4 linked regions of the Mytilus edulis genome follow. The protein of the gene in region 1 purifies or fractionates together with the protein of each later gene. This does not show direct contact. Links are inferred from orthologs where the notes say so. Each region holds a gene or a part of one and is shown in the gene's direction. Other genes may lie near its edges. The genes, in order: RNA-binding protein with serine-rich domain 1-like, E3 ubiquitin-protein ligase RBBP6-like, AMP deaminase 2-like and ATP-dependent RNA helicase DHX8-like.

Region 1 (7,563 bases):
TACAGAGTCAACCCCTTGAATGTATATTTCACGTATTTGTTTGATCTCATTCTGAAAGTGCATAAAATATTTACCTGTTCAAAGTCAGGAACTTCTAAAGAGTCATCATATATTTATGTCACATCTTAATTTTTTTTTATTTGAAGAATTTGGTTTCTCTTCTGTTTTATCCTTAAAGTCATAAGAAACGAGTGACCGGTGAAAAATAATGTTCTTCCAATTCTTGAACAAATGCATACAAACATCATAAACTTAGTCTTCTGTGCTCGAATTTATCATTTTTTTCGTGTAAATTTCGTATAATTGTCAATTTTTTTTTCAATCGGTCAGTGTTGTTGTGAAAATATGGCAGGTAATTAAAGTTCGTGTCTTGAAGCCGAAGTTTAACGATTGTCACCTGTTTGTCAACAATTGACGAAAAATAAACAAAAAAGCATGGAAATTGAGCACGTGTTTAACATGTAAATTCAGATAATAGTTTATTTTAAGGACATCCATGCGTATTGTGGTCACCGGATTTTTACGAGATGGGTCACACTGAGGTCACCTTGCATACGGAAAATATCTCGGGGGAATTGCTTGCTGGAAGGAAGCTATTCAAATAAAGTAAACTTCTTCTAAATATGAATAAATTAAAGAATTTTCTTCAGAAAAAAGTACATGTACATAAGTTTTATAATGAAAACTATCCATTGAGTTATTAAAATCATATGCATTATTTTTTTTTGATTTGAGGTTTCTTATGACTTTAAACATATATATATACCAGTATTAGAAGGAAAAATGTGTGAGTTGTAACATCAGGATAAAAGTTTGTTTACAGTCGTGACAAAAGCTCTATTGGTTCATGTTAGTATTTGTTCATAAAAGTGATACTCATATTCTCCATCAAGTAACTACATTTCCCATAATGCCTCTCTCTCTGACATACCTGCCATGTGTTCAGTCCAGTTGTTCCTTGGGATATGAGATGTATTGATTCTTGTAGGCTTACTGTTTCACTATTTGGCTGCAAGAACAAATACAAATAAATATTGGAACTGACAGAACAAAGATAAATCACAAATAATTTTCTGAGGCTTTTTATTTTTACCTCGAATCAAATGTTGAAGACTGCTTTTGGTATCTTGATTAAATGCTATAATCCTTATGATTCTTTAATTTTGAAATCATCAATTGCAAGCTTACATATCCTGGTTTAAAAGATATTATTATGAGATATAAAAGCATTACCAATACATGTATTTACTTTTCTGATAAGATGATCAACAAATTTCATAATAATGAATAAAGAATGTTGACTCATTAGATTAGTAATGAAGCACCAAAAAGTATACTCCACAGTAGCCTTATCTGAATGATATTTGGTGTTTACTTCATGAAAACCCTACACTTTTTCTGGCAAAAAATTATGTCATCATAATGAGATGCTGTTACAAGTAGCAGTTGTAGTTGTTTGTTTAACCTCAGTTTCAAATGGGATTTGCAGGGGAATCCCTGAATAGAAAGTACATGTACATGTAGGTATCTGTTTGTGTCAGAAATGTAAATCAAAACATGTCTACAATGTGACATCATGGGTATTATAATTAAAACAAAAACAAGGGAACCTTGTAGAAACCTGATTTTACCAGATGATATGTTTTGTAACAAAGGATGTCATCTTCGTCTTCAGTCTGTTGTAAAAGGTCTGTGTAAACCTCGTAGATTTCATCACACATTTCAACCTCACTTTCCTCTAACTGAAATTGACAAGTTACATATCAAAACTCTACAAGTCTTTGCAATTATTCCTAAATGATTCATGCCCAGCTACAGGTATATTTGTAGATACTCTATTGTTGGTCCTGGCAACGTCCTACACTTGAAGTCATACCATGAGCTATCTTTAATCATATTTCATGTGATGTTCAGTTACAATGTTTAAATATTTTATGATCTAATGAGTAATTAACATAGAAAACATGTATGTATGTTTATACAAGTTTACCCTATATGATTTTTTTAAATTTGTATTGATGATTTTATGTATCATACATGTAGGGTTGCTGTCTCATTCACTGTCACATATATCTGACATCAACTTTTATTCACATCATTTATTGAAATGGGAGATAACTCTTACAATATACCAAAAATCTTTGCACGAAAAAATCCAATACAACATGCATTTCAGTGGACACAAATTATTTTAGTTGATCCCTCTCAGTAATGATTTCTCGCATTTCTAATAAGGCCAAATAAAAATATATGTGTGGTTCCAGTAACCCTACCGTCTATACTTTTTTCGGCTTAAAAATAGCCTACCCTAAAGATTTTATTTTCATTTTTCATTAAGCACTGTTAAAGTCAGAATGTTGCTCCCATGGACTCAATATAAAAAAAAAATAATAAAATATAAAAAAAATTCCAACCTACCTAACTTTTTTTCAGATGTAACTGGAACCAAACATACTTTTTTATTTGGCATAATCATGAAAGTTATGAGAGAGTTTGATTAAGATTCAAATAATAAGTATCGACAGATTGTAGTTCAATGAATATGTATATTTATTTAGCTTTTAATTTACTGATAACAAAATCAATATTTATACCAATAAAAACATTATTCAATGATCTTATTACAGTATTGAATAGGTAACCTTTTTAAGTTTTAGAATAAGTTTATTTAAAGGAGCGACAAGTTTACATGGATCATTTCTAAATTTCCGGGCACAGTTAACATTTAATTTTGCTTGACATGACAACTCAAACCAATATGTCATGTATTCTAACATTAACTAAATACGATTCTGATTATTAATCAAACCTTGTGAAGTAGGGTCTTCGTGAAAGCTTTTTGGTAGGATACTGACGGAGGATATTTTTTGCAAAGTTCATTTAAAACTGTGGCATTGAGGACAGCCTTCTGTTCCTCTGGACCAATCTGTGCACTTGTAATAAGCTCTGTCTGGAAAAAAGAGTAAAAAATAAAACAGATGCTATTATAATACTATTTCAATTTTTAAGGATTTATTGATTGGTGTAACTGTTTGCTCAATGTCCAAATGGTAATTTTTGTTTATCATATAGTATTAAACTTATGTTAAAGGGGCACTAGCTGTCAAATTCATGGTCACCGATTTGACTCATATTCTCATATTTGATTTATAGCAATGTAATATTTTATCCAAACTATCAATAGTCTAAAATAAACAGTTTACAGAGCATGGGGTAGATAATATATAGGTTTGTTTCGTGTGTATTTTAGTCCAGACGCCATCTAATTACCTATCGATTTAACCTCAGATGACCATATAAGCGATGTACATTTTGTAAACATAAATAAAGAAATGACTAGATTAAACCAACATGTGCAATTGGATTTTTATAGGTCTGTTTGATTTTATTTTATAGATCAAAAATAGATGTTTCTCATTGTTTTTAACCGTATAAGAAATGATTATATGTGCATCAAATTAGTAATCAAATGATTTACCGTAGTTTCACTTTCATTGTTGACATTCTTTTTTTTTAAATAACCAGTACACGTACATGACGTACAATGCATGCGTTGTCAATCTCTAGCTAGGGGTTAAATTGAAGTTCACATGAATACGGATTTAAAGAGGTCGACTCATTCACTTGCAAGTGAATTACTAATTATCAATGTTTCTTAGCGTAATTTGACAAAATTGAACCTTTTAGGCTGCAAAAAGTGAATTGTTATTTCACTATTTCACTGTCATTATTGATTGAACAGGAAAAAATCAAACATCACATGATAAAATTTATTCAACACACCAAAAAAAACGTAGTCAGAATCTCACTTCATTTTGAAACAAGTCCATGAAACAAAGTTATAGCAATAGCCAATACACTAACCAAAACATGATTGAGAGTTATTCAACACAAAATAAAACGTTGACAGAATCCCACTTTATTTAGAAAGGATTATTATTTTTTTTTAACAAAACACTATCCAAAACATAATTAAGATTTATTCAACACAAAAAAAAATGTCTCACTTTATTTTGTGACAATGACAACAATTATATTTATAAGAATACACTTGCTTACAAAGTTATTAAGCACAAAACCAATTAAGATTGGGCGCGAACATGTAGGGTGCGAACGGACTTTGGGTGCGAACATGAGTGAGTGCGAACGTGAATGGGCGCGAACGGACCCGGATTCGATATAGACCAAAGATAATTTTTGTATAGTAAGCCCTGCGCAGAAAACTCAACATTTGGATAAATATAAGTATATTGACGGAAAACAAACATAATATGACTACTAACTCTCCATTTTATTCGCCTTATCGGCACCATTTCAAAAAATTGACATGAAATTTCATGCAAAATAACTTTGGTATCAATTGAGCTCATGGAGGCTGCCATTTTTATTCCTTAAAGTAAAAGAAATTCTCATTGGCAGGCAATTTAAAGACTTCATATTTCGTCCAATCAGAAACGAGCTTTTAAAGTGTAACGGCGTCAGAACCTCTACCTCAAAGATGTAAGAATTAATTTTTCTAATCCATTAATATCGTAGCCATCCATCTACTTTACCTGCATTTAAATGTCAACATCGATTGTTGAAACGTTTAATAATTAAAATTACCCTTTTTCGTTAGAATTTAAGAAAAATTGGGAATGGGTTTTTTTTCTAAGCATTGACCCCCCTTTTCTGTATCTGTTGTTAAAATAATTTCTCTTGTTTCCTGTTACATTTCGTGGTTGTAGTATGCAGTAACAGAACTAATCAGAAGTCCTATGCAAATATTTAATTGCACAAACTCATTTTAATGCCAAAAAAGGTTAATTTATATTGATAAATTGATTGAAAGAATGAATACACCTTATAGCTATACACCTTATCGCTATTTGTCCGCCATTGCTGGAAATCACACAGGTTCCCGTAAAATTTTGACGTCATAAAACAAAATGTCTGACGCCACAATGGAAAAGTGATTGTTGTTGACGTCAAAAGTTCAAACGGACGGGTCAGCCGGGAATAGCGATAAGGTGTATTTGTCTGACGCCCCAATAAAGAAGTAATAGTTGTCTTGTCAAAAGTTCAAGCAGCCGGGATATACCTTATCGCTATTTGTCCGCCATTACTGAATATCACACAGGTTCCAGTAAAATTTTGACGTCATAAAAAAAAATATCTGACGCCATAATGGAAAAGTGATTGTTGTATGTGTCAAAAGTTCAAGCAGCCGGGATTAGCGATAAGGTGTATAGTTTATACTTGTTGATATATCATGATGAATGAAAAAATCAATATTGATTAATATCAGTTCACTATTCTATACTGGTCCAACAACAGAGTTAACATCTTTTGATTTTTGTTGTCATTGGAAATGAAGAATCCATATATATACAAAATGTACAGTACCACTATTTACAATGAGACCACTCTCCACCAGAGCCCAAATGACAAGACATTTACAGTCTTCATGCTTAACTTTTGAGTCCACAAGCCAGAAGCCCAATTTTTGGAAAATTTTAGTAGTATTCTGTTGGCTTGTAGAGGAGAATCTTACAAGTCTGAAAGCAATTTTACATGCCAATGCCGTAGGACTTGCGTACGGTTAAGCGCTTTCGCGTCGATCCGGCCCAAGTCGATCCGTCCCACGTCGATCCGGCCCCACGTCGATCCGGCCCCACGTCGATCCGGCCCCAATAAAAAAGTATATTTATAAGGATAAAAAATAAAGATATATATTAAAGTAATTCATAAATGTTTATGATTTTTATTATAATGTAAAGGCGTACGGTAAAAAAAAAAAATTTCTTCAGATGAGTATACAAACAACTAGGTTGATTATGTTTTTATTACAAGTTTTCAAGATTATTGGGTATAATTATATTAAAACAATTCAGACATCAACATTAATCAGCAGTAATTAGCGTTTTCTTTCAATTGACTGTGATCCTAACAAGTTTTTCATCTTGTGTAATAACAAATAGTTACATACACAACGGTACAAGCCGATCCCCAAGCTGATACATACAAACTTTGTTTTTCTTTTTAAGTTCTTAAAATTTCTTAAATTGAGAAATGTTGTTAGATTTGCCGAATCCTATCTATAAAAGAGAAGACATGGAAGTAAGTAATTATTGAAATGACAGTCTAATAAATTCTTCAATAAAAAAAATATACGAAACTGTTATTAAATATTGTCATCTGCTGTAGCAATTCTTCTCTGTTATATGTACTCAACATTTCCTTTCTTGCAATAAAGAATAATGGATACTCATATAACTTGTGTTTTTTTCTACACACAACTATTCAAAATACTGTCAAATTTATGAAAAATATATCGATATAGGAAGATGTGGTGTGATTGCAAATTCCATTTATACTGTGTCACAATTTCCTCCAAGATCAATATAGTTATTTCTTATTTTATTATGGGGCCGGATCGACTTGGGGCCGGATCGACGTGGGCCGGATCGACTTGGGCCGGATCGACTTTGGGCCGGATTGACTTGGGGCCGGATCGGTTTGGGGCCGGAACGACCGGATACCCGGTTAAGCGTGAAGACTGCATTTAACAACTTGAAGGGCATACAATACAGTTTTGGTCCCGTATTTACATTTTGATAAAAATTTCCATATAAACTATTTTTACCTGATTAAATCAAATATGTAATAAAAAATATGCCTTCATGTGCTACTTTTTGAGTAAAATGAGGTCAAAATTTTGTATATTTGCTAAAAATTCGGACTTGTGGCCGTATTTTCCTTTTCGAAAGAAAGACATAACTTTTTTGTTTTAAAAGATCACAAATTGTTTTTGTTAAATAATTTGTAATTTATGTATTTTATAAGTATCCTAAAAATTTATTCATTTTTTTAATTCAGAAATAATTGTAGAAAAAACATCATTTATTGCTGTTTATTTATCAAATTTTAAAAAATTGCACTATTTACGTTTTCATGAAAATTGGCAAAAATAATCTTGCGTAATCAAACCAAATGGCATTTTGAAAAAGAGGGGTTCATGAACTCGTTTTCAAGTGAAATAAGTTTGAATGATAAAATCAGTCGAAAACTGAATCTTTCCCGATAAGTCATACACTGTAGTTTGACGTTGCGAAAATAACAATTTACGGTAGCAACGTCATTACCTCCCCTGTAACTATCGTATGCCCTCAAGTCTCTGAGTCTTGACAACCTTCAACATTACAATGCTGTAGTTGTGTCAGTTGTGTATTTAAATTTACTTAAATTTATTGATGTACAGTTTTTAAAAGCATTTGCTTTTACTGTCATTTAAAACATGTAAGGCTATTTTGTTAATCAACAAAATACATGTAGAGGGGACACAATTTTCGTTTTACAGTTCTTTTAGGATTGTGTAAAAGTATCTGTTTGCTTGGCTTTTGTATTGAAAATGAAGCCAATTTGATTAAGCATTCCTCAAAATTTGAAATGCATATTTAATAGAAAGTTTAATAGTTAACCCTTTTCCACAGAAATTTTGAGTCCCCTAAAGGTTACTCAACAGAATTCATTAGAACGCAGTGATTCAAGAAATTCACCTCTCTCTGATAACTAATATTGATA
Region 2 (8,152 bases), about 57 Mb from region 1:
GTGTCAGTTGTAAATATACCCCAAACGATGCTGTGTCAGGTGACATGGGCTGGAAACCACCATGTGTTAAACAGTGGATAAATATTTTCAGACACTGGTCTAAATGTACAAAAATGGACAATAATAGAATTAATTATAAAGTTTTTAAATGGTCAGTGATGAAAGGTAGTTGTAAATTAAAGAATTGGTGCTACAAAGTTATGGAGATGTTGAAATCCTTTGATTTTGAAAGATATTGTAAAATAAATGAAAATTTTCTTGATAGTTATAGTATATCTCAGTTAGAAGAGAAAATGTTTGATAAATATAAAAAAGACTGGTGTACAAGAATTTTTTCATATAGTACCGGTTGTAAATTGAGAACATATAAACTTTTTAAACATACTTATAACACTGAGCAATATTTGCTACAGAAAATGCCACAGCGCCATCGTAGTGCTTTTTCAAAGTTTAGATGTGGTGTAGCACCATTAAAAATTGAAACTGGTCGATATGAAAGGAAAAATCTAGACGAAAGAGTCTGTTTTAACTGCAATATTTTAGAGGATGAAAAACGTGTACTTTTAAATTGTCCCTTGTATAAAGATCTAAGACATGCTCTTTTTATTGATATATTGTGTCATAATGATATGTTTTTAAACTTGTCTGATGAAGAAAAATTTATGTATATGTTTAAAAATACCAATATTTGTAATATTGTTGCCAAAACCTGCAATAACATTTTAACAAGGAGAAACGGTATTTTATATCATTAACTACTGTATTTGTAGTATTTTATAAAATGAATAAGTATTATTTGTATTTTAATAGTCTCTCATAATTCTTTTAAGAATGGCACATACATTTATTTAATTGTTTTAACTATGTTTACTGTATAATTAATTTTATAATTGTATCTTGTTTTAATCATGTTGTATGTGGTGATACTTTAATAAACTATTGAATCTAAATCTGGGGCCGAGTCAACGAAGCTGTCCTAGGACTAGGACATGTCTTAGGATGGTCTTAGGACACGTCTTAGTCCTGAGTCAGACTCTCAGGTTAACGAAAGTCTCCTAAAATAAGATATGTCCTAAATTTGGTCCTAAAGTTAGGATATACAAATAGGTGTCTTAGGATAGTTCTAAAGGTTACAATGTCCTAAACCGTAATAAAAACAACAAATATGGCATAAACTCAATACTAAAAATACCAATACAATATTAAACTATCATATACTGTTATTAGAATTAAATTAATAAAACAAAATATTTTTCAATATTTGTTAAAGATTCAATTGTATTACATTAAATTATGCTGTGCTTAAGCCCAAAAAATATTATCATCATAAGCAACATTTTTTTCGACTTATCAAAACGGTCCAATATTAATTTAAATATGGAGACAAAATTACTTCTTTTTTAATAATCCTGATTCGAAACATGTAATGAAATCGAGTGGACCTAAGTACAAAACTAGTTTACTATAATTGCTGCACGACTGTCGCATTTAACTAGGTTTTGTTACTATTTACCTTTGTTTTCGCATTAAATTTATTTATATCTTTTATCATATTTAATAACGTATTTATTAGTATTACGTTATAACTTTAACTTTAATTTTACGTTAATTGTTTTCAATATAAGAGTCATCCTCCCTATCTTTACATATAGGTTCTAAATTACAATAAAATCTATGTCATAGAAATCTCTCCATATTTTTTTCAATAAAATAAATGTGTTAGGATGGTCTTATGACCATCGTAGTTAGGACTGTCCTGAGACAGCTTTGTTTTACATCCTAAGACATGTCTCAGACACGTCCTAAGACCATCCTAAATAATGTCCTAAGACATATCTTAGGACATATCCTAGGATACTTTCATTGACACGGCCCCAGGTCTTTCCTGTAAAAGGGATGTTTTCGTAATGTACTTTGCACGACCTTTCGTTTGATATACGACAAGCATACCGTTTGAAACTTTTCGCTTTGTACACTTAATGACCTCATCCGCCTACACTTTAGAGTCCTACATATGTAACATAGACTTGATGATCTTTCAAGACTTGATGATATGCGACAACGTCATGTTCTAGAAAGTTTGATTTTTGCACTTAATAACCCCATCCAACTCATTTTTGGAGGTCAGGAATTTTATATTTGAAATGTACACGTTATGACCTTTCATTTGATATACAACAACCTTATCTTAAAAGAAAGTTTATTTTTTTGCACTCATTGACCCCACCCAACCCATTTTTTGGTACAAAAGCTTGTCCGGAAAAAAATCCATAGCCCCCCCCCCCCCCCCCCCCCCCCGAAAATCAAATGGTTGCTACCTAAATAGAAGTTATGAAACATGAAAATTTCAAATTGTTTATTTGGTGGTTTTTTTTTTCATTGAATGTTTTTGGTATTTTGGTCAAACATATAATCATGTTAAACTCTTCAATTTCATAAAATTTCAACCTGCTGTTGGTTCAAAAATACATGCCTCCGCTTGCAAAACTTCAAACTAAATTATCTCTGAAACTACAGCAGATATCTCAAATCTGCTAAGTGATAAATGATATGCACTTAAAGGACAACATTGTACAAAAAAATTGGGACAATTCCAAAGTTCATCAAGGTCACAATGAATCATCAAAAATTTGATACAATAACAAACTTGAGAACCGGAAGTCGTAGAGACATAGGACTACCACCATTCAACCCAGGACCACTTGACCTTTCAAATGTCACAAGGTCAAGGTCATAGTACACTTTGAAGGTCAAGGTAAAATTTCATCATGACCTGACATTGACCTCAAATTGAAGGTCTTAAAATACAGTTCATTTTTGCAGTTTATAGTAGGTTGCTATCTGTTACCTTTCAAAAGATAAACACACAAAACTATACTTTAAAGAAATTATTTCATTGTAAGTTTTGAACAGACGGTCGGACATTTTTTAGCTTAATGTATAAAATGTAGAGCTCGTCGAGGGGAAAATTTATACACAGTATGTATTCAGCAAACTCTTATAGTTTTCTTAATATGTAAGCTTGAAATTGCAGCGTAAAAATATTTTGCACTCGGTGACCTTTGACCTTGGATGTAAATTAAAGGTCACACGAACTGTCCTAGTAGATTTTTTACCTTTAAAAGATGAAGGAAAATAAAAATTATAGTTTTTTAAAATTAATATTCCATAAACTTTACAATAGTTTAAAAATATTATGCCAGACAGTTGTTTTGTAGAAAATATTTCAATTATAAGTAAACTTTTCTTGGCAATTTTAGCCATTTTTTTCTTAAAATATAACCATAGATAACTGTCCTGGCAGATTTTTTTTAACTTGTTAATTTTTTAAATACCCTGTTCTTTATTATTCAATTTAAATTTTAACAAATCAAATCAAATCAAATATTTTATTGTCATATAAACTTTACAGTTTGTGACCAACATATATTAATACAATAAACACAATAAACATATATACATACATATTAAACATACAAAATATCAACAGCATTAAAATTTATAACAACAAACAAGTTGTTAAGAGTCCCCTGCCCTCAGTTCTAATGACTTTTTCAAGAAGGATCCTAACTTATTTGTTTGTAAAGGCGATGATGGATTTAGTAAATAATGAATTTTTTCTTCTTCATTTAAATTATTAAAGTTCTTATTTTCTGTACATATGTGATGAAAAAAGTCATTTCTTAGAGTTTTATTATACTCACAAGATAGTAAAAAATGTTTCTCATCCTCTAGTATTTTACATTTATGGCAAAGACGTTCCTCTCTTGGGATTTTAAAATATCTCCCCTTTTCAATCAAGAGGGAGTGATCACTTATTCTAAATTTAGTGATTAATCTCCTTATCTGAAAATTAGATGTATTTAGATAATATTCTAGTTTGTAATCTTTTTTAAGTTTTTTATAGAGAAAAAATTTACTTTTATTATCGATGTTTTGAAATTTATTTTGAATTAAATCATATCTATTTTTCATTTTTAACTTTATATCGTTTTTTATTTTATTTACATCTTTTATGTCCTTACAAGTAGAAAGAATATTAAGGTCAACTTTAGTCTCTTTAACAATATTTTTAGCATATGTATACCATGAGTAAGTTCCTGTCAAATCTAGAGACTGTGCTAGAGAAAAAGCTTCCTTTAACAATGGATTAATATTATTATTATATAGTCTAGCTAAATATAAAAGGGTTTGTGTTTTAATAAAACATTCTATAGGCAATCTTCCTAATTCAACTCTTGCTCCTAAATTGGATGCATTTTTTCTTATGCAATATTCTTTAACAATATGAGGAGTTAAACAAAAGTTACAGATAAAAACGTATCGAAAAACTCTGTCCGGGTTTTATCTGTCCTGTTTAAATAGACCTTCCCATGTTTTTGGTACTTTAGATATACCAGATCAAATATCCGTCCTCAGATCCAATCCACTAAATACTGTGTCCAACGATGTTTCACGAGAATATACGAGAGGATTTTCCAGAATGACGCCATATGCAAGGCTAACACAATGTGAATGTCACGACTTTTTTTAGAATTAGAACTTATTGGCTGTGTTTATACGATACATGTAAGTTTTTTTTACACTATAGGCTCAATCTTAACGGATTAATCAGAACGGCGTGTCACGATAAGTTGTATGTTCAGGTTTAAACTTATTTATTTTTTAGCCAAATTTACATGGCTAAGAAAAGTAACATACCTCTCAAATGATTTCTAGCAATACAATGGGAAATGTACTGCTCCTTGTAACAGTTCCTGCCTAAGTACAACTACAGTCAAGAGACGGGTGCATCAATTTTGAATCAATAAACTACTGAAATAATCATAAAGAAAAATAGACAAATACCTGTTCGGCTGATGTTTTTTTATAACCAGTTCGGCAGTAGGCAGTACAAAAGTTATGGTCAGATTATATGTTTTTGTATACTGACTGACTTACGAAACACAACACCAAACTAAATCAGATTTTATCAAATTAAATGAATAATATAGCCACAAAAAGAAACGATACCCAGATTTTTATCAAAAATATCTATTTTATTTTCAACAATGTTTTTTGAGTTTTGTATTTTATGGAACAATAACATAAAAGCATACAAACGTATCAAAGATAACAGTTAAGTAAATATCAAATCATTCCTTATTGCACAGACTGTTTGAAGATGTCTTTGAAAAAAACAAAAGTTGAAAAGTTAATATCTCGTATGGCCACCTCTTTGAGTTGATAACAGCAGGCAATTTCCGACGCATTGGTCCAATCAAACGCTGAATAAATGCTTGTGGAATGTTATTCCACTCTTCCACCAAGGCAGCTCGTAGCTGGTTGACTGATATGGGTGGATGGTGATGTCTGCGTATGTGTTTGTCAAGTTCATCCCATAAATGTTCAATGGGTGATAGATCTGGCGATAAAGCTGGTCCTAGAAGAATGTCTATGTTATTCTGCCCAAGATATTGTGTGCATACACTTGGCACCTAGCATTGTCCTGTTGAAAAGTATGCCGATTCCCATGCCTTGCAATAAATGGTTGTACAATTGGAGAAAGAATTTCGTAACGATTATGAAATCCAGTAAGACTTCCATTTATGAACTTCAAGTTAGTGCCTCCACAATGTGTGATTCCTGCCCAAACCATCACACCACCACCACCAAAGCAATCACATTCATGCACACATGCATCTGCAGAGCGTTCATTTTGACGTCTGTACACTCTCATTCTTCCATCACTTCTATGTAAGCGAAATCTGGACTCGTCACTAAAAATGATGTTTTGCCACCTGACACGGTTCCAATACAAACGTGCATTTGCCTAACATAGCCGCGCAGATCGATGGCGCTGTTTTAGAATGGCTCCTTCTACTGGACGTCATGAACTCAAAACAACCTCTCTTAGCCTATTGCGTACAGTTTGGGCCGATATCCTTGGATTATGTCTCCCTGGTGTTTGTCTTGCGGTAAATGTTGCTGGCAAAAACCGACCCCAGAGGTGAGTGAATCTTATTCGACGGTCTTGGCATAACGTCGTTTCTCTTGGACGTCCCATAAGTCGTCTGTCATTATAGGACCCAGTCTGTGTTGAACAACTCATTTATCTATTTATTGTCAATTTGGAAACACCAAAATTGTGTGCAACGTCAATATGGGGCATACCTGCTTGTACCATTCCCACTGCTCTATCATGGTCATTTTGACCTAGACGTGGCATTTGAAAACGGCTTTTTTGGATGTCACCTTCAATTACCTTTTGTTTACCTGTGTTGACCGGATATTGAATCACCCTCATTTAATTTAAGACCCGTGTTCGGACGACATAAATGTGGTTCCACTCAAAAATCAAAAATACGCTAAAATGACGTTATTATTTTGTAAAACAAAAACAAAAGTGCAGTAACCTACAGACTTATGACTGTTTTCGAATATACAACTAGTTGCAATACATTTTTTTTGTTAATAAAAATTATTATGTAAAAAAATTGGGTATCGTTTCTTTTTTTTTTTCTAGTATATATTACACAAATTCATGGTACATATGAATATTTAATCAATCTTTCAACATTTAAGACAAAATTGACTGTCAATTGAGAAAGCTATGACATAATGTTTCATGTCAAAGTAATGAGGTACAAACCATGCACACTTACAGTCTGGTTTTGAATCTTCAGTATCAGGTGTGGCCACTGTTGTTCCGTAGGACAGCTTTTTATCTTGTTCGCATTCATGATTGATTGACAAAGGTTTCTGACTGTTTTGCGGGGGATGTTTTGCCATATGATATCTGTTGTAATGCGATACCATTTTCAGCCGTGGTAGTCGTCAGATTCAGACGAGAACAGCTGTCCAGCTCATCCCATATGTGTTCAATAGGATTTAAGTGGTGAAAGATCAAGCTATTCCAGAACATCTACTCCATTCAAATTCAAAAAGTTTCGAGTCAACCTAACGGTATGTGCACGTGCATTATCATGTTGGAATGACAATTGATTTAACTGTCTATGACATCGTAGCTTTAGAACGACAACTGGCTGCAAAATTTCATCAATATAGGGTCTAGCTGTTAATGTGCCATTGACAATAACCAACCGTGTCCGAAAATTTGTGTTAAAAGCGCCCCATACCATTACACCTCCGCCACCAAATTTGTCACGTTCAATCACAGTTATCTGGGTAACATTCATTTTCTTTGTATATTCTTGTTCTTCTGTCTGCAAAACTTACATTGGACCATGATTCATTGGAAAACACCACACGATTCCAGTTTCTCTGCTGCTGCAGTTGTTGCCTGGTCCATTGCTGTCGATTTCGTCTATAGTGTGGAGTCAAAATCATTCCTTTATAGGATCTCCTGCAGGGAATTTGACGACATCTCAGGATAAGGGATACTGTGTTAGCATTTATTGCTCTGCCATGCGTCCAGTAGTTTGTTTTGCGGTTGGCGTTGCCGTCGTGAATCCATTCCGCAAATGATGTAGTCTGATGGCATTTTGTTGCTGGGGCATTGTTACTTGTGGATGGCTGGGTCTCGGATGATCTTTTACTGTTCCTGTTAATCTGTTGCATTGAAATAAACAACTGATTGCTGAGTTGCTTACATTAGAATGTCTTGAAACAGCACGCTGACTCATTCATGTCTGTAACATACCGATGGCTTGATTGCGATTTTCATCACTGAGTCGTGGCATTACGAAATTTAAAGAAGTTCAATTGGTTAATGGAAGGCAAAGAATGTAACGCATCTTTTAGACAAGATAAAAAAATCGGTTTAAAATTTATTCAGCTACCAGCCATCCTGCGTCACACATTTCATGCTTCCCTCACCCCGTTATTACCTGACTTGCTCAGGTAAGGCAATGGTTGATTTTTACTAACCAAATACATGTCATGGATGTATGACAGGCGTACATAAAAAAAAATCTTTTATAGAAAATAAACCTTGTCAAAAATGTGTTTTATTGTCACTAATAGTCCATGTGCCAATTAGTATTTGATTCTGTAATTACGCACTTTACAGGCTAACGCTAGCAGGCAACTGGGGAGATTAAGTCACTTTTCACTCCTTCACTTCACTTTGTCAGACCGTCAAAATCAAAATAAAGGCCCTTTTTGTTCATCATAGTTGCTTTTGTCAGCAAATATTTTCAATTTTTATTAA
Region 3 (8,654 bases), on another chromosome or scaffold:
TTGTAAAGTGTACATGTCCAAATGGCAGGTTCATCTAATCCTGACCTCAGAAAGTGAAAATGAGGTAAAGGACAATTTGATGGAGATATGACAACTGGAAACTTTGTAACATAAGGTATCAATATACAAGGCATGATGCATTCAGGTCTTCTACCTTCTGAAATAACAAATAGTTTATGTTTTCTATCGTTGCAAGCAAGATACAGATAAAAAAGGAAGAGAGTTCCAATGTCCCCCACATTGCACATAGTTTATCTCTCTAAGGGTAATAAATTAAAAAAAATGGTTTTAGTTCTTTTAACCTTTTAATAAATATTTTAATGAAATATTTTATGATGTAAAAATATATTGTACATTTGAGAGCACTTAAAATGCAACTTTTAATATGATTGATAATTCAAAGGGACATAACTAGTTGGTAAGCACTCATTCTTTTATTTATCCAAAGACACTGCTTATATTGAACACTGATATAAGTTTGATGCTAATATTGAACACTGATATAAGTTTGATGCTAATATTGACCACTGATATAAGTTTGATGCTAATATTGAACACTGATACAAGTTTGATGCTAATATTGAACACTGATATAAGTTTGATGCTAATATTGACCACCGATATAAGTTTTATGCTAATTTTGACCACTGATATAAGTTTTATAAAAATCCGACCAGAATTGTACACATGAGATTGAGAATGCTATCGTGAGTGGACAAACGCACAGATGCATGCTCAATATTTATATGTAATACCTACAGCATCATGCAGGGGAAAACAATGGATGGAAAATGATGGCAATAGCTCACAGGGGGTCTTTAAATTAAAGAGCAAAAATAGTATTGTTTAATAAAGTAATATAAAATGTGCAATTTCAAACAAAGAAATAAGTTGCAAAAAGTTCTCAAATACACAAACACACAATTCAAAGCACAAATAAACATTCTATATAATTTGAGTGTTTGAGTGTAAAAATCTGTGCAGTGCAAACAAAAGGTGAGGTATACTGTAACTAAGGTGCATTTCATATAGACAACCTTGCTATCTGGTCATTTAATCCTGACATCAGTCCATCACATCTGTCTAACAAAACCTGCAAAATCAACAATATTAAAAAGGTACTAAAACACAATAAACTGTAAAACATGTTTGTATAATTTCAAAGTTAGAAATAATTGTTGAAATACACACAAAAAAATACGATAAAATTTTATCTTGCAATTATCAAGATATTTTCAAAATACCATCTGTTCGCCAATTGCATGCCTGAACAATAAAGTAAAACATGCCTCTAACACCCCCTTATTCTACACAATGGAAATGACACACAATGGGTCACCCTGATCAAATACGTGTATTATATTGTATGTAAAAAGATCAGCATGCAAATATTCACCTCAAAAACTAACAAAACCTTTGAATAGACTTATTAAGAAGGTATATAGTTACGATACTGTTGTCAGGTCATTAAAGATTGCATATTTTGGCGTTAATATTGATTCACTTATAGGGTCTTTGCATCGGAACTAAACACATTTATTCAAAAACCAGTTGTTGGCATGACACGGGTTATGATCTTCTCATATATGTTATGATGGTATGATACTAAACCCCTAACGGGAAGGATTGTGCCTGATGTTCATATGATGAAATCATAATCTTTCAGTCAGTTTAATTGAAGTCTGGAGCTGGCATGTCAGTTAACTGCTAGTAGTCTGTTGTTATTTATGTATTATTGTCATTTTGTTTATTTTCTTTGGTTACATCTTCTGACATCAGACTCGGACTTCTCTTGAAATGAATTTTAATGTGCGTATTGTTATGAGTTTACTTTTCTACATTGGCTAGAGGTATAGGGGGAGGGTTGAGATCTTACAAACATGTTTAACCCCGCCGCATTTTTGCGCCTGTCCCAAGTCAGAAGCCTCTGGCCTTTGTTAGTCTTGTATTAGTTTTAATTTTAGTTTCTTGTGTACAATTTGGAAATTAGTATGGCGTTCATTATCACTGAACTAGCATATATTTGTTTAGGGGCCAGCTGAAGGACGCCTCCGGGTGCGGGAATTTCTCGCTACATTGAAGACCTGTTGGTGACCTTCTGCTGTTGTTTTTTTCTATGGTCGGGTTGTTGTCTCTTTGGCATATTCCCCATTTCCATTCTCAATTTTAAAGTATAATTGCAGTTTTGAAATATATCGGTGACAATTAACTACCGAATTTACAAATGAGAATATTTATATACATTTATCGAGGCTTGATAATCACATTTAAAATGTAATCAAATGTTTATATAATTACCTGTATTCTGTTTACTATAGTTTTTCTTTTCCCTCTTCCTCCTTTATTACTCTCCTCAAAACTTAAGGCATCTAAAGATAATAATTGTTTCATAAATATTTCTGAAGTTCCTCCTAGTTTTTTCTTTAATTGGTTTAAGGCTGGTAACTTCAAATCATCATTTATATAACCCTGAAATTAAAATTTAGAATAATTTTAATTTTCAGAACATTTTTTTTTCTCATTCAAATATTTAAAACTTTTTACAAAAAAGACAAAAAAAAAAAAAGAGTACACATCAAATTAAAAAAGCATCATGTGGTATGTTTGCATAAAACACAGTGTTTCAATTTTCTTGACTGCTGAATTTGCCAAGTCAATCTATAATATCAATAAGAGAATGTTAAGGCTAAGGGAAGTAACTCATATATTTTTTTAAAACAATTAAATTTAAATTGAATATGAAATACGTTCCAGTTTTATCAAAATCGGAATGAAGCTGAAAGTTTAACAAAAGACTACTATAATTTTAGGTGTGTATGTCTGTCATCCCTTCCTGTCTTTAATGGTGAATGTCAAAGAAGAAAATCAAGTATTCGATGTGATTGTTGTGATTTATTGTCTATAAAGTGGTGGTAAAGTATTTCAATATTTTACTTACTCTATGAATACCATCTAATTCATATGTGATATCACTCAATCTCTTTTCATTTTTCTCTACATCTTTTTCTATATCTGATAACTTCTTCATTTCTTTGTCCTCGATAGGATCTGGCTATAAATAAAGTGTGGAAAACAAATCCTATTTCAAAATATTATTTGAATATATCTGAGAATTCTAAAGAAGTTTTAAAAACATCTGTTCTGATTATCATAAACTCTCTTCCTGTATGCACTGATTCGGAATAGTTTAGTAAATTAATGAACTGCTCATTGATAACATTTCCTAATTGTAATTTTTTACCATGCTTATAACTTTCTTGTAAATTTAAAAAAAAAATTGATACTATTTTTTTTTTTATAACTTTGCAATTTAAAATATACCTTCTTCCCCAATAACATTATTGTCGCACCATCCCTGACACCTATTTCACTCAATATATCACCGGGATCCTTTAAAGTCTTTCCTGAAATTCATATCTTAATTTATTCATAATTCATTATGAGATTTGACAATCAACTTTTATAAGTATTTCTCAGATAGTTTGAGAAAAAAATTATGAAACTGTCGAACAATATTGATCCCTGAAAATGTGCTATGGTAGTGCTCATTTTTGTTTTGATTTGACTCCACAACAACAGAAGATAATACTCAAAATTTTTAAAGATGCTCCCATATCATTATTATTTATATGAAAGAATTTTTACATTTTTTTCTCTCAAAAACTATTTTATCCCTCACATAAATTTATAATTTGTTCTCAAATGTATATCAGTCTTGAATACTATTACTGAACAAAATTGAATTGGTCAACGCTTATTAGTTATATTTCTAGACACCATGATGGATTATAAGGGGATATAACTCAGTAAATATACAACTTTCAGACATTGTTTAAAACATTTATCTGGAGTAACAAGGTCTACATAAAATCAACCATCAGTCTTAAAAACTGATTTAATACTTTAAAGAAAATTATTTCTGTCTTTTTCTAACTGGAATCTCCTATTAAGGGCAATACATACAGAGTTAATTCAATTAATATGATCAATTTCAAAGGATCTTTAAGCACATGAGTTCAAGAATGTTCAATCAGTATTTGGCCAACAAATGTTTTAATCATACTTCTAACTGTTTATTTTTATGTTTCCTCTGTTATTTCTGCAGGAGATGACATGAAAATTTTGTTTCTTACAACTAATTATCCCTACATTATCATATTTATAACTTTGTTCATTTTACCATGTTTACCTTTATGAACAATTTTCTGACATTCAAGAGGTATTCCAAACATCTCCACCATTTTGTCCATCAAATGTTGGACTTTCAATACCTCATAGGAATTGGATGGTAATTCTAAAATAATGCTGTGTCGGACTGAACCTGTAAAGAAGCAAGATGTGTTGTATAAACAAGAATAAAACTTGAACTTAAAACATGCTGTTCGTTTCAGCAACAATTTCTTTGTATCTTAAAAAAAATAATTTAAATATCTTGTAGTTTTCATATAAAAATCATAATATATATCACTGCTGGTGATCCGATGGATAAATCTGTTGTAGAGTTGTCACTGGTTCAGACGTATATATGTCTGAAAATTATACACAACAGTGTAAGAGTTAGATTTTCCACTGACAAATTTTTGTCCGTCCCTCGATCAGTACAATAAACAACCCACAGCTTTCATCTCATATAAATGTACAATGATGATCAATGATGTAGGTGAATATAAAAATGCGTGAACAGACACTGAAAAAAGCAGTTATTTGTAGGCCCAGTGAGTACAATGTAGCATGTTTTGGTTGAAAATAACAAACAATATCATATGTTTTGTTTTGTCCCCGTTTCACACAGGTAAAATGCATTTTTTTTAGAATGGACAAATATATTTGATAAAAACCATGTTTGATATTTAATTTTATGCGGTGTCTTTGGTCTGTCATGTTGATAGTTGTGTTTTCCAAGAATAAATTTGATTGCCAATGTCAACATTCATAAATAAATTCTAAACCACAGGTCAAGGGAGGAGACAGGAGTAAAATCCGAACACTGTTATCAAGCTAAAAAATATTGATTACATCTACGTTTGTTTATTTTATGTCAATAATGTTTCATATATGTAACATGGCAAACTACACTGTGATTTTAGTCAATTTTCAATACTCGCTTTCAAGATAACAAAGGAAAAAAATACATATTCTTGGCCTTCTAGATCAGTTATGTCCCTTGGACGAGATCTCTAATGTTTACTGAATCTTGATACGTAAAAGTAATTTGGCGAAACTGCTGCTGTCAGATGCAATTGTTATATTCAAACAATTTATGATTTGTGTATTAGGATAAAAACTACTCGAAATGAACGGAAACGTACCAAATGACATAAAGAAAAGGCCAGCCGCTGCAGGTAAATATGTAAAATTGATTTCATCAAGTTCACTAGGGTCAAACGTCTGCATCCTTATATTTATATATAATGTGAATGATTTCTGCATGTTATGGATCAGGGTAGTTTGCATCAAAAATGTTCTTACAGTGAAACTGGGGTGTAGAATGTACATACTCATAAATTAATAGCTAACCATATATACAAACCAATCTTAAATTCTTTAATACTTGATCATAAAAAAATTTCAGGATCTTACTCCATTGTACTCTTAAAATTATCTTTTTTAATACATTAATTTTTTAAAGGCAAATTTGTATACAACATTGTACACCTTATCCGTATTTGGAGTTCACAAAGGTTCCTGTCAAATTTTGAAGTCATAATATAAAATAGTCCAAATAATTATGTTGAAAAATTGTGTATAATATATTGTGTAGCAGAATAAATACACCCTATTGCCATAATTGCTTTTTGGAAATCTGCACCAATTGACTCGAGAGAATGGAAGAAAATTGAATCTATTAATTCCTATTTCAAGCAAACATATTGATAAATATGATGCAGTAATACAATTTTGGTTTTATACTTTTAAATAAAATACATTCAGCAATGCATATAGAGATATATCCATTATACATGTATTTCTTTTGATAATTGAAGTTAAGAAAAGAACACCTTTATGAAACAAAATGTACTGATTACAATGCATGCAATATATGCAATAGTTCAATTCATAATAACTGTAAAAAGTATGACAGTCTGACTGTATTTAATAAGTGGTATTTTTGACAATTTTTGTTTGACAATTTATCATGTTTATTGTAGATTATGTTAACAATATTTTGACAAACATGACAAATGGTTGTCAACTTGTGTGTATTAGAATTAGGAGATAACTGTATTGTATTTTAAGCTCCGACGGCATCAATTGGGGATTTGATGGTCGCAAATTAAGTTTACTGGCGATGCGTTAGCGGAGACAGCAAACGGGTTTTTGCGACCATCAAATCCCAAATTGATGCCATCAGAGCTTTAAATACAATAATGTTATCTCCATTCTAATGAAACTGACAGGAAACAACGTTAAAACATGTATTTAAAATTGGTCAAATGCCGTCTGCGCATACGCGTACGTCCCATAGCATCAATTGTCAATTGATGCCATGTAAGAAAGTGACGTTATCCAATCAAAATGAATGTTACAAACGTTGTTGCATTAGAATATGTGATTAATACGATTAATATTTTTTAGAAAAATATTAACTTGTTTTCAGATGGACTGACTTCACCTACATTTGCACCTGCTAAGTTGAAATTCCCTAAACATATCCACAACCCTACAGATGATAAATTTCAAGAAATTGCTGATTCTATGCTACGGAGAAAAACAGATGGACCAGAACTTCATTATAAAAGCTCTGCACCATATGAGATTGATGAATATCCAATAGAAGAAAATGAGAGCAAGAATTATTTTGAGAGACAACTGAGTACAAGGTGAATATATACATGTAGCTTGTGTAGTCATATATATATATAAAGTCACTGAGTGCTGAATGAAGTTGCATTGTTTGACTTTGACTTTACTAACAGTTGTTTGAAATGGTGTTTTTACTTGAACAAATAATCTCTGCAAGGTTTTTTTTTCATTCAATTTGTAAAAGTAAACCATTATACATGTAGGTCAAAGTACGGTCTTGAACATGGAGCCTTGGCTCACACCGAACAGCAAGCTATAAAGGGCTCCAAAAATGACTAGACTTGTGTAAAACCATTCAAATGGGAAAACATAAGGCATAATTTGAAAATGCAGGCAAATGAGTTTTAAGTCTATGAAATTTTTTAATCTTTTATTTCATTGCTTCAAAAAAATTTATTCCTTGCTTAATACCATTCATCTTTAATTATTTGTATTGTGTGAATTTTTCCCTCTATAACACTATAATTATATCATCATGGTCATCATGGTCATAGCCATAGTTTAACATATATCATACCTTGATTTTTTGTTTCAATTTGTTTATAAGTTGGAACAGGTGAGAAATAATTTATCATTGAATTGAATTTTATTTTTACTGTTGGTTTTTCAAATTGTTGTTTTTTCCCCCCTCTGTTTTCACTCAGAAGTACCCTGTTTTTTCTGACATGTTGAAAAAATTAGGAGATTAATACATGTAATAAGCATGATAAACAAGTAGTTATATATTTCAAAAAGTTTGAACTACTTTCATCGACTTTCTAGAAACATTCAGATTTTCAATGTGCTTGTTAAAACCTGGTGAGAAAAAAACTGTATAGAAAATATAGAGTAGGTTAGGTTAGCAGAAACATGTTGTTTTTTTAGACTCAAGAAATATTTTTATAAGAGAATACCATTTTTTTAGGTTTCATCTCATTTTTTTATCACAATTAGATAACTATTTTCAGACCAACAGGATCATTGGAGCAGATAGCTGAAGAAAAGTGAGTTTCAGGGAATGTTCATGTTGTGCATGATAATATTGTTTTTAAAAATATTGTAATGTTCTTTTGTTTCAGTTTTAATTGTTACATGTAGGTTAAGTAAAGCACACATATATCTCATGGTACATGTAAGCGTATGTATATATGCATCTGGATGCTGAAACACAGTGAAAATTCTTGAAAATGTAAAAATTTATTTTGATGAAGTAGAAAATTAATGCAATTTAACGTTGTTTCTTTGGACTTTTTTATGATTAAAATTTCATGAAAAACTGGACATTTGTTTTTTGAGACACAATATTTGTATTTACATATTGGGAGTGTTCACTGTGATAAACTGCATTCAGATTTTTAACAGGCTTTGAATATGTGCTGCTTATAACTTGATTAGTTAGTGAACAGAGGAGAATTATGAACAAACATGTGTAATTTGGGAAGGGAGCATTGCACTACAATGTAGTATAATTTAATAAAGTTCTCATTGTTTATCTTTTGTGTATGAGAATTTCAAATTGAAACATGTATTCAACCCCCTCAGTGGTCTTGTGGCTCTTTGGGTAAGCACACAGCATTTATGAGTAAGAACAAATACTGGTCAGCATAGAGACAGAACTACGTGTACAGGTAGGATGATATATCTTCCTGTGATAAGTTACTGTGTGAAACTAAACTTTAAATTTTGGCTCTGACAAAGTATCATTCTAGTACAATATTCATATCCCATTAACATTTTCTCATCCTATATGCATTTGATATTTGTCACTAGACATTTAACACTAATTCATAATCCTGATGTATATTTTGTATGTAACCATGGTAACAGGAAAAGAAGTTCATTTTATAAACTATTCATGTTTGGAGTTGCTT
Region 4 (8,214 bases), on another chromosome or scaffold:
TGGTTACTCATTTGTGGAAATATTTCTCCATTTAGTGAGGGCCTCCAACCTGTTTAACCACCACCGTCCTACTTTTATAATTTCCTACACGCAATACACCAAAGTTACAAAAACCTTTAAAGGGCCTCTTAATAATCAGTCTCAGATCTTTACATTAAAGCTATATGAAAGGAGCGTGTATAATACGTCTATATGACACAATGGCCTAGACTTTTTGTACCAAGATTTACAAATAACACGAATTATATGTAATTAAATATGATTACTGTTGCTCTAATTTGCGTGAATCATCTAAAAGTTTACATATCTGTTTAACAATATATACAAGTCAAAATATCACACGCTATTACTATAAACTGTTTATAATTTACGCATGTTAAAAACTAATTTTATTTTAATGCATAGTTATTGTACAATATTAGAAATCGAATGGCCAAAAATGGCATGCCTCAAGGTGAATCTGGGAACACGGTATATCTATCAATATAGATGTTCCTGTGTGAATTCAATTTAAAAAAAAACTGTGACATAAAATTCAGAACCTCCCAGAATTAATCTATTGCGAGCTGCATGTCTCGGTATAACTACGTCGATTTATATAACCCCGTACCACTGGTTAACTTATTATTCAGTCTGATAAAATGCATGAACAGTGTAATAATAAATGAATTTGTGACACCCTTTACCTTGCAACGAATTTAACAGTCGCCACAAAATGTGGTTGGTACCTGAGTCCTCGTATGACATAGTAGCAGTCCATGACCCTATCGGTCCAAATTTTTTTTAGTACTTACATGATTCCGTTTTTGTTTTCCAGGATTCCAACAGAATACCCAAAATAACTTCCGGTGGGTCCTTTAAAAAGCATCACATTCTTTTCATCTAAATTATATGCATGTGTAATACTGTCAAGATAATGTAAACAAATGTAAGTTTTAAAAATAAACACCATAAAATCCATTGCAGTTGAAACTGCATTTATCATGTCGGAGCAGTTGCTCTATTATATATACTTAATTTGTCCATAGCCGTACTGGTAATAATTTCCATTTGTTATTAAACCACAAAAGGTCAGAGGATAGGTTTTCAATCTCTCTATACACGTGTTATAATTGTGTGGTTTAAAAAACTATTTTTACTGACAACTTTATCTTTAAAATAATGGGTCTTCTATAGTATAGATTGTGTTTTATCATTATTGAAGTATTTGATAAGAAAGCACGAAATGTATTTGTTGAACTCTCCAAATTCCCTTTAAATGTGTGGCCTATCATTGGAAATAAGTATATACACTTGAGATTGACTATACACGGTCAATTGTTTTCTTTGCCTCACACTAGTCATGATAAAATTATGAAATAAAATAAACAAATAACAGAATCTGGAATAAGTTGGTCAGTATTGTTATCTAAGTTAGACGAAACCAAGCGAAACAAAACATTGACGTATATAGTACCATATACCCGTAGTACGAAAAAATACAAGCTGCTTTAATTAGCATTCAACAACCCACAAAAAAAGAACAATTATGCAAAAAGGCTAGTAGTTACTGTAATGTTCCACATGAAATCCATTACAGCCGATTTTATTGAGTGTGAAGGCTTTAGGTAATGTCTTTGGTTAGCTTTTTTGTTAGCTAAACCGCGAAGTCATTATTAGGTCAGGTATACTACCCTCCTTTCGAAGTAGCCTAGCCCAACAGACAGATAGATTGGTAATTTGTCGAACTAGTCTTCTATCAAAGGAGGGTAGTTTACCTAACCTAATAATGCCATTGCCTACACACTCAATGAAATCAGTTGTAATTACCATGAGTAAAATCTTCTCATATTTTACAAATGACGAAAGATGGACAGACTGAGAAATACTTCTGTGACCGGCAGATTTATGTTTACATCAATTCTTTAGATTTAATTGTTAAATTTCGAATTGAAAGATCACCAATCAATAGCAAGCTTTACACAAATGAAATTCCTGTCAGAAGCCAACATCTTATTTTAGGTTATTATTTTTTTTTTTTGGGGGGGGGGGAGTGGTCACCATATTTTGCTTTGAGCGTTCCTGTCGCAGGTAAATTCAGAAAGGCGCAGAGGACTCATAAACTTGATTTATAACGTATTTTTTGTCATTTTTACAGCATTGGATCGATACCTTTGCATGTGGACTATTACTCACTGATGGTATATACATTCAACTCAGTTGTCAGTACATCGGTAGTGATATGATTTATAGCATGCCTTTTTTGATTTGTCTGTTATCAATTTTGAAATTTAAATGAAACTAAGGTTTCAACTTCCTCAGGATAAGTAATCCATAGATCGATCTGGCTATCTTTTATGTCCTTTTCGGTCATATAGCTCTTAAAATGTATCGGTTTCGCACATTTTTGGTTTTAAAATATTTGGTAGTTTAACGTTAACGCTCAGGATAATATTCGAATATCACGGCCCAGGCCATGTGTAAATTTCCAACAATCTATGGCTTCCATGAATTATTTCTTAATTGTTACTGACTGAAGGTAAACACAGAAAGGCGCTTCGGACGCATGACATTTACAACGTTTTGTAATTGGTTCGATACCTCTACTGGTGGATTATCACTCTCCGTGGGTATATTCAACTCGGAAATTTAGTCTCATTTCACACACAAATAACCTCCCTTTCCCAGGACAAAATTTCATAATGTTCATCTATGAAATATTGTCTATATACAGACAAAATTTCACAATGAAGATATGTTCATCTCTGGACATCATTTCATAGATGAGGCTGGGACTATCATACTAACAAGTATAATAGTCCCAGGATGAGGACAATATTTCATGATAGTGACATAGTCATTGAAATATTGTTTTGGTGTACAGTATTTCATAGGACAATATTTTGCTTTACATATATACTAAAGAGATTCGCGTATCATATATATCGTTATAGTGTCAGTAAATCTTTCAAAAACACTTGATTCATGAAACTGATTCCACATGCAGACATCTAAATGAATTGTGTATATACTTGCAGGGGCGGATCCAGCCATTTTAACCCAGGACAAAAAGGGGGGTCCAACTACATGTCACCATTCAAATGCTTTGATCGTACAAAAAAGGGGGTTCAAACCCCCGGACCCCCCCCCCCCCCTTATTCCCCCTATTACATAATATTCAGCTGTGATATATTGTCTATATACAGAGAGAATTTCACAATGGAGATGTGCCCTTCTCTGAACAATACTTGATTTCATGATACCGTGGCATAGTCATGAAATATTGTCTTTGTGGAATTATTTTTATTGACAATGAGTTGTCATTCTTTTTAAAGTGTGGTGAGTTGGCAGACTGAAAATTATTCATCTAAATTTTAACTTTTTCAATAAGTCGGGAGAGTTGGCAAGAGTAAAATTAACGTGATTTAACCTATTTTACAAGTGGGGCGATTTTTTAAAAGGCACTGGCTACGGTTACATGGAAATGTAACAATAATAAAAATATTATTGTTACATTGGAGACTAATTGCCGGAATGCAAAGTTGGGTGAGGAACCGATTAATTACAAATGTAACAATAATTACTGAGGCTACGGTTACATTACGTTATTGTTACATGAAAAACAGCAATGTACGCTAGATTGATTAAACTTAAATCTTCTATAGTTGTATTGCTTCATTCTTTCATATATACTAAACAATACTTGTAATTTAATACTGATAAATAATAAAATATTATTATTCAACAAATGGTGTACAACTTGAATAGTTTTACTACGTATTAATGGTTTTGATGTTCTTAAAGATACTACTCAAGATTATGAGTGTGACTGTCAAAGGCGAAAAATATAGTTCAATGGTTTCACTTTTTTACAGTATTTAACTGCACACCTACTCTTATTACTGTCATTATACTTTGGACCAATTTTGTTTATGGTGAAAAAAATAAAACTTGGGATGCGTTTTAAACGAAACTGAAACAATATCAAGACATACATTTCATACAGCTAAAACTATAACTTGACGCAAATTGATAATCAAAAGCAAAGTTTGCTAACTGTAAAGTTTAATACTAAGAAATTCTGTATGTACACGTATCCGTGGAGGACGTAATTTCGTTCATCAAAAATGTGTCGGACTTTAAAAACAACTTGCTTACTGGATTTGTAGAAATTGTCATTGTAAATAAAAAATTACAGTAAATAAATTGTATGTTATAAATGCATGTAATAAATGTCCTCAACTTTTATTATTTAGTACATATTACTATAGTCCCATCGTGCATTGCTTTTTTTCATGTAACAATAACGCAATGTAACCGTAGCCTCAATAATTATTGTTACATTCGTAATTAAACAGGTCCTTACCCAACCATGCATTCCGGCATTTAGTCTCCAATGTAACAATAATATTTTTATTATTGTTACATTTCCATGTAACCGTAGCCAGTGCCTTTTTAAAAAGTGAGGCGATTTAGTGTTGGGCGATTTGCAAGTGGGGCGATTTGTCCTGCTTCCGTAAGTTCGAGACTTCCCTCAAGAGCCTCAAATTATTATACCTTCCCTTGTATTAACTCTTTTGCAAAAAGTCCTTTTTCGTCTACTACGATCAAAAACGAACTTCTTTGTAAACAAAAAATATCATGTGGGAAAAAATCATCACTTTTAAATGTTTGTTCCTCTAATCTAACATAAATTTGGCATAACTGAACAAACGATCATCAGTTTTTCATATCTGAGAGGTTGTTTTTATTGAACAGTTAAAATGAATGAACTTCAGAAATTAGAATATTTATCTTTGGTGTCAAAAGTGTGCACTGAGCTTGACAATCACTTAGGTCTAAATGACAAAGATCTTGGTAAGTGTGTATTATAAATTGTTTTCCTTTAAACCTAATATATATCAAAGAGGTACTACCTGATATGCTCCCGAATGTCATCAGGTGTAGATCCAAGATAATTTTGTTTAGCAAGACAATGTTTGGAGTGGTACTTGTAAACAGTCTATACACTACACATATAAGTACAATGTAGCTTCAGAAGGGTAATGTCGGTTACTTAGAGACAGTTTTATTTATTTTAAACATTGACGCTACATACATTTGACATACATGTACTTTAAACACTGTTTTCATTACCCTTGTTACCTTACTATTATAGGTATAACCATTGTATATCCTTTGTTAGTTTTTTGTAATTGCTCATCATTTTTGTCATTTTAGTGATTTACAAAACAGTTTTCAAAATGACAAAAGTATTTTAAATCAATTTCGTCACTTATTTAAATTTTGTAAGTGTAGAGTGAGGTGCTCATTTTCGCCACATCTTTTCATATTTTCTACAGTTTCTGTTCAAGTGTGAATGTTTTTGAAGTATACTGATATTTCTATATGAAGATAACTTCAAATGCAAAATATTCTTAAGCTTGAAAACGTGTTTGTTTGAATATAATCATCAGAAAAGTTAGATTAAAGGGTGTTTGAAATTACCTGATTTTATGTCAATGGGGGACACATATTCGCCGTTTTTACACATCAATTTAAAATCAAATAACTGCAGCTTTTAATAACATTGATCAAATTGATTTCATAATAGATGATAGCAGACATTTCAAAGGTGTTAAGAACTGAAATTTAGGGGCATTCAGTCAAAGAATTACTTAGAAATACTTCTTTGAATTCCTGTTTTTTCTTCAGGAAATTGGCCGAAAATGGTTGTCCGTTTTTCGGTCCTTTTCAGTAGGTTCCGCAATTTTGTCTCAGTTATAAAAAATAATCATATTTGTTATATAATATCATTTACCGGTATATGTCTTCCATTTCAGCCATGCATCCTTTGAAGTTTTTACACCTCAAAATCATAAAACGGCGAAATTGTGTCCCCGGCGAATATGGGCGCCCCACTCTATGAATATTTTCGCATGAAATTATTATACAAAATTTTTTGAAAAATGTAGTTCTACTTGTCTTCAAGTTTTTGACAAGTTTCTGACCCTCAGCTTATTAAAGTTTACAACATGTGTTAAAAGTTGTGATGACATACATTGCCGTGACGCCCGTCAGTGGGTCACTAATACACTAATTTTTTATTAGCCTCATAGTTGACCATCATAATTATTTTTCCAAGTAAAATCAGTCAGTCTCAGCATTTCAATTTCAATAGTTCTCAAACAACATAAATTTGAAGTAGCTAAAGATTTATCAGAGTTTTGTCATGAACAAAATTGTTTTAACTTCTCTAAAACAATATCAGATTTACAAACAAAGATAAACAATAACAAACAACACAGTCCTATAAGCTTAAGAAAATATTTTCCTGGAATGTGATCAGGCACGGATCCAGAGGGGGGGTTCCGGGGGTTGGAACCCCCCTTTTTTTGGACGATCAATGCATTTGAATGGGAGCATATACATGTAGCTGGAACCCCCCCTTTACTCTGGGTTGGGAACCCCCCCTTTTTAAAATGGCTGGATCCGCCCCTGGTGATAAAGAATACAGTAAAATGTTAATCCCGGCATACATTGCATAACATTTCCTTACATTGCGTAGAAATTTGGAAACACACATAATTTTTTACAATAATCTTGAAATTATATAATTGAATTGATGTATATACTTCATGTGTCTTATGGTGATTACATACATTTGTGCATTCAAGCTCAAATAAGATCACTGGAATAATCTGGTTTAGTTATCATGGTTATTGAATTAATATATATAGGCAATCAACAATATTTTTTTAATAAGATAGACAACATGATAGAACAATTTGTTAATGAAGTCTGTACATGTGTAGTCTGAATAATTCATTGATGATTATATACCTTTAATGTTGACTGATTTTTTTTTTGTATTTAATGTAGCTGAGTTTGTGATTTCTTTGGCTGAGAAAAATGACACATTTGAAAAATATAAGAAAGTGTTGGATGAAAATGGTGCAGAATTTTCAGTGAGTAAATTTCACAGTATTGAATTATATTTAGGCCTGGTCATTTTTATTTGCAAATTAAAAAAAATACTTATGTACTGTTTTTACTTACATTTATGTCAATCTCTTATTTGGACCAAGATTTTAAAAGTTCATTTAAGAGAGTTTGGACATTTTAGCTTTGCAAATTTTTTGTTTCAAGAATGATTCAAATGAACTAAAAAGTCTTAATTCTGGTTCATGTGTTACTAAACATTTGAAAGTTAAACTCACCTTTAAGATTGAAATATAATGTTTCCTAATGTCCAGGGGATAATATCTTATTGATATTCAAGATGGCTTTTTCAATAGCTAAGTTCCTGATTTAAACAAGATTTGAAATATTCCTGTACAGTTAATCAGCCTTTTTAAATTTACTGTTTAAAATAAAATCCTTAAAGGCTTTTAAAATATAATATAATAGAATCATTTAATAAATATTGAATGTCAAGTTACATTTTTTCTATTTAGGATTCTTTGGTGGCCAACTTGTTACGACTTATAAATAGAATGAAGCCCAAACCACCAGATGCAGAAAAGAACAGCAGTGACACAACAGAGGGTATTCCTCAAACCGATAAAGATCTTCAGAAGAAGTTGTTCCCAGGTTTAGCCATGCCCAACAATCCCAATGTCTTAGTAAGTTACTGTAACAAATGATTTCCTAGGAAGGGCTTCTAGTTATTACCATATGTTAAAATTGTGCTGTTGCCATTTAATGGTCTAATTGTACAGCAAGTTTGCAGTGGCGGATCCAGAAATTTTCATAAGGAGGGCCCACTGACTGCCTAAGAGGGGGCTGCTCTTGTCATGCTTCAGTGATTCCCTATATAATCAACCAAATCTTTCCCTCAAAGGGGGAGGCTGGGCTCTCTGAATAACCGTCTATATCTGCCTCTAGTTTGTTATAAACTGATACTGGTTTTCTTTGGGAATCAGATTTAGACTGTAAAGTTAGTTAGTCAAATCTCAAAGTATGTAACAGGAAACAGTTTCTTTTTCAGAATGATTTTCAATATTCTAATGGTTCATATATATGGAGACTAGAGTATCTAACTGTACAGTCCTTTTGTGATATATGAGTCTGTTTGCAGACTTAAATCAATGAATTGTTTGGGTGGTCACCTTCCTTAACAAATAGTAGGGTCTGGTGTAATGCAGGCAAAAAATCTGCATTGTAGCAGTTTTCAAACCAAATATCAACTTTGATAGTACATTGTAATTAATGTTTAAATAGAGGTAAAAATAACAAAACATAATGCAGGGTTTC

Evidence for each region.
Region 2: the proteins of RNA-binding protein with serine-rich domain 1-like (region 1) and E3 ubiquitin-protein ligase RBBP6-like purify together in Homo sapiens (co-immunoprecipitation; 3 studies listed by BioGRID and IntAct, with this or other methods). This does not show direct contact. The link is inferred for Mytilus edulis from reciprocal best matches to the Homo sapiens genes RNPS1 and RBBP6.
Region 3: the proteins of RNA-binding protein with serine-rich domain 1-like (region 1) and AMP deaminase 2-like purify together in Homo sapiens (co-immunoprecipitation; 3 studies listed by BioGRID and IntAct, with this or other methods). This does not show direct contact. The link is inferred for Mytilus edulis from reciprocal best matches to the Homo sapiens genes RNPS1 and AMPD2.
Region 4: the proteins of RNA-binding protein with serine-rich domain 1-like (region 1) and ATP-dependent RNA helicase DHX8-like purify together in Homo sapiens (co-immunoprecipitation; 3 studies listed by BioGRID and IntAct, with this or other methods). This does not show direct contact. The link is inferred for Mytilus edulis from reciprocal best matches to the Homo sapiens genes RNPS1 and DHX8.

What each region holds. Positions count from the first base shown.
Region 1 is NC_092352.1:76,793,777-76,801,339, forward strand, and holds the start of RNA-binding protein with serine-rich domain 1-like, read left to right. Parts: upstream 1-4,548; 5' UTR 4,549-4,563; coding exon 4,564-4,586; intron 4,587-7,563. Other genes in the region: protein-lysine N-methyltransferase EEF2KMT-like, read right to left, coding at 932-1,009, 1,632-1,742, 2,810-2,950, 4,284-4,382. UniProt on the Homo sapiens protein: Part of pre- and post-splicing multiprotein mRNP complexes. Auxiliary component of the splicing-dependent multiprotein exon junction complex (EJC) deposited at splice junction on mRNAs.
Region 2 is NC_092352.1:19,424,850-19,433,001, forward strand, and holds the start of E3 ubiquitin-protein ligase RBBP6-like, read left to right. Parts: upstream 1-4,425; 5' UTR 4,426-4,569; intron 4,570-6,680; exon of another isoform or gene 6,681-6,945; intron 6,946-8,152. UniProt on the Homo sapiens protein: E3 ubiquitin-protein ligase which promotes ubiquitination of YBX1, leading to its degradation by the proteasome.
Region 3 is NC_092348.1:27,887,430-27,896,083, reverse strand, and holds the start of AMP deaminase 2-like, read left to right. Parts: upstream 1-5,173; 5' UTR 5,174-5,293; coding exon 5,294-5,342; intron 5,343-6,598; coding exon 6,599-6,821; intron 6,822-7,751; coding exon 7,752-7,787; intron 7,788-8,654. Other genes in the region: BAG family molecular chaperone regulator 1-like, read right to left, coding at 1,038-1,093, 2,299-2,469, 2,939-3,052, 3,322-3,404, 4,190-4,321, 4,839-4,881. UniProt on the Homo sapiens protein: AMP deaminase plays a critical role in energy metabolism. Catalyzes the deamination of AMP to IMP and plays an important role in the purine nucleotide cycle.
Region 4 is NC_092345.1:83,690,404-83,698,617, forward strand, and holds the start of ATP-dependent RNA helicase DHX8-like, read left to right. Parts: upstream 1-4,503; 5' UTR 4,504-4,742; coding exon 4,743-4,836; intron 4,837-6,840; coding exon 6,841-6,926; intron 6,927-7,415; coding exon 7,416-7,583; intron 7,584-8,214. Other genes in the region: integrin alpha-4-like, read right to left, coding at 795-985.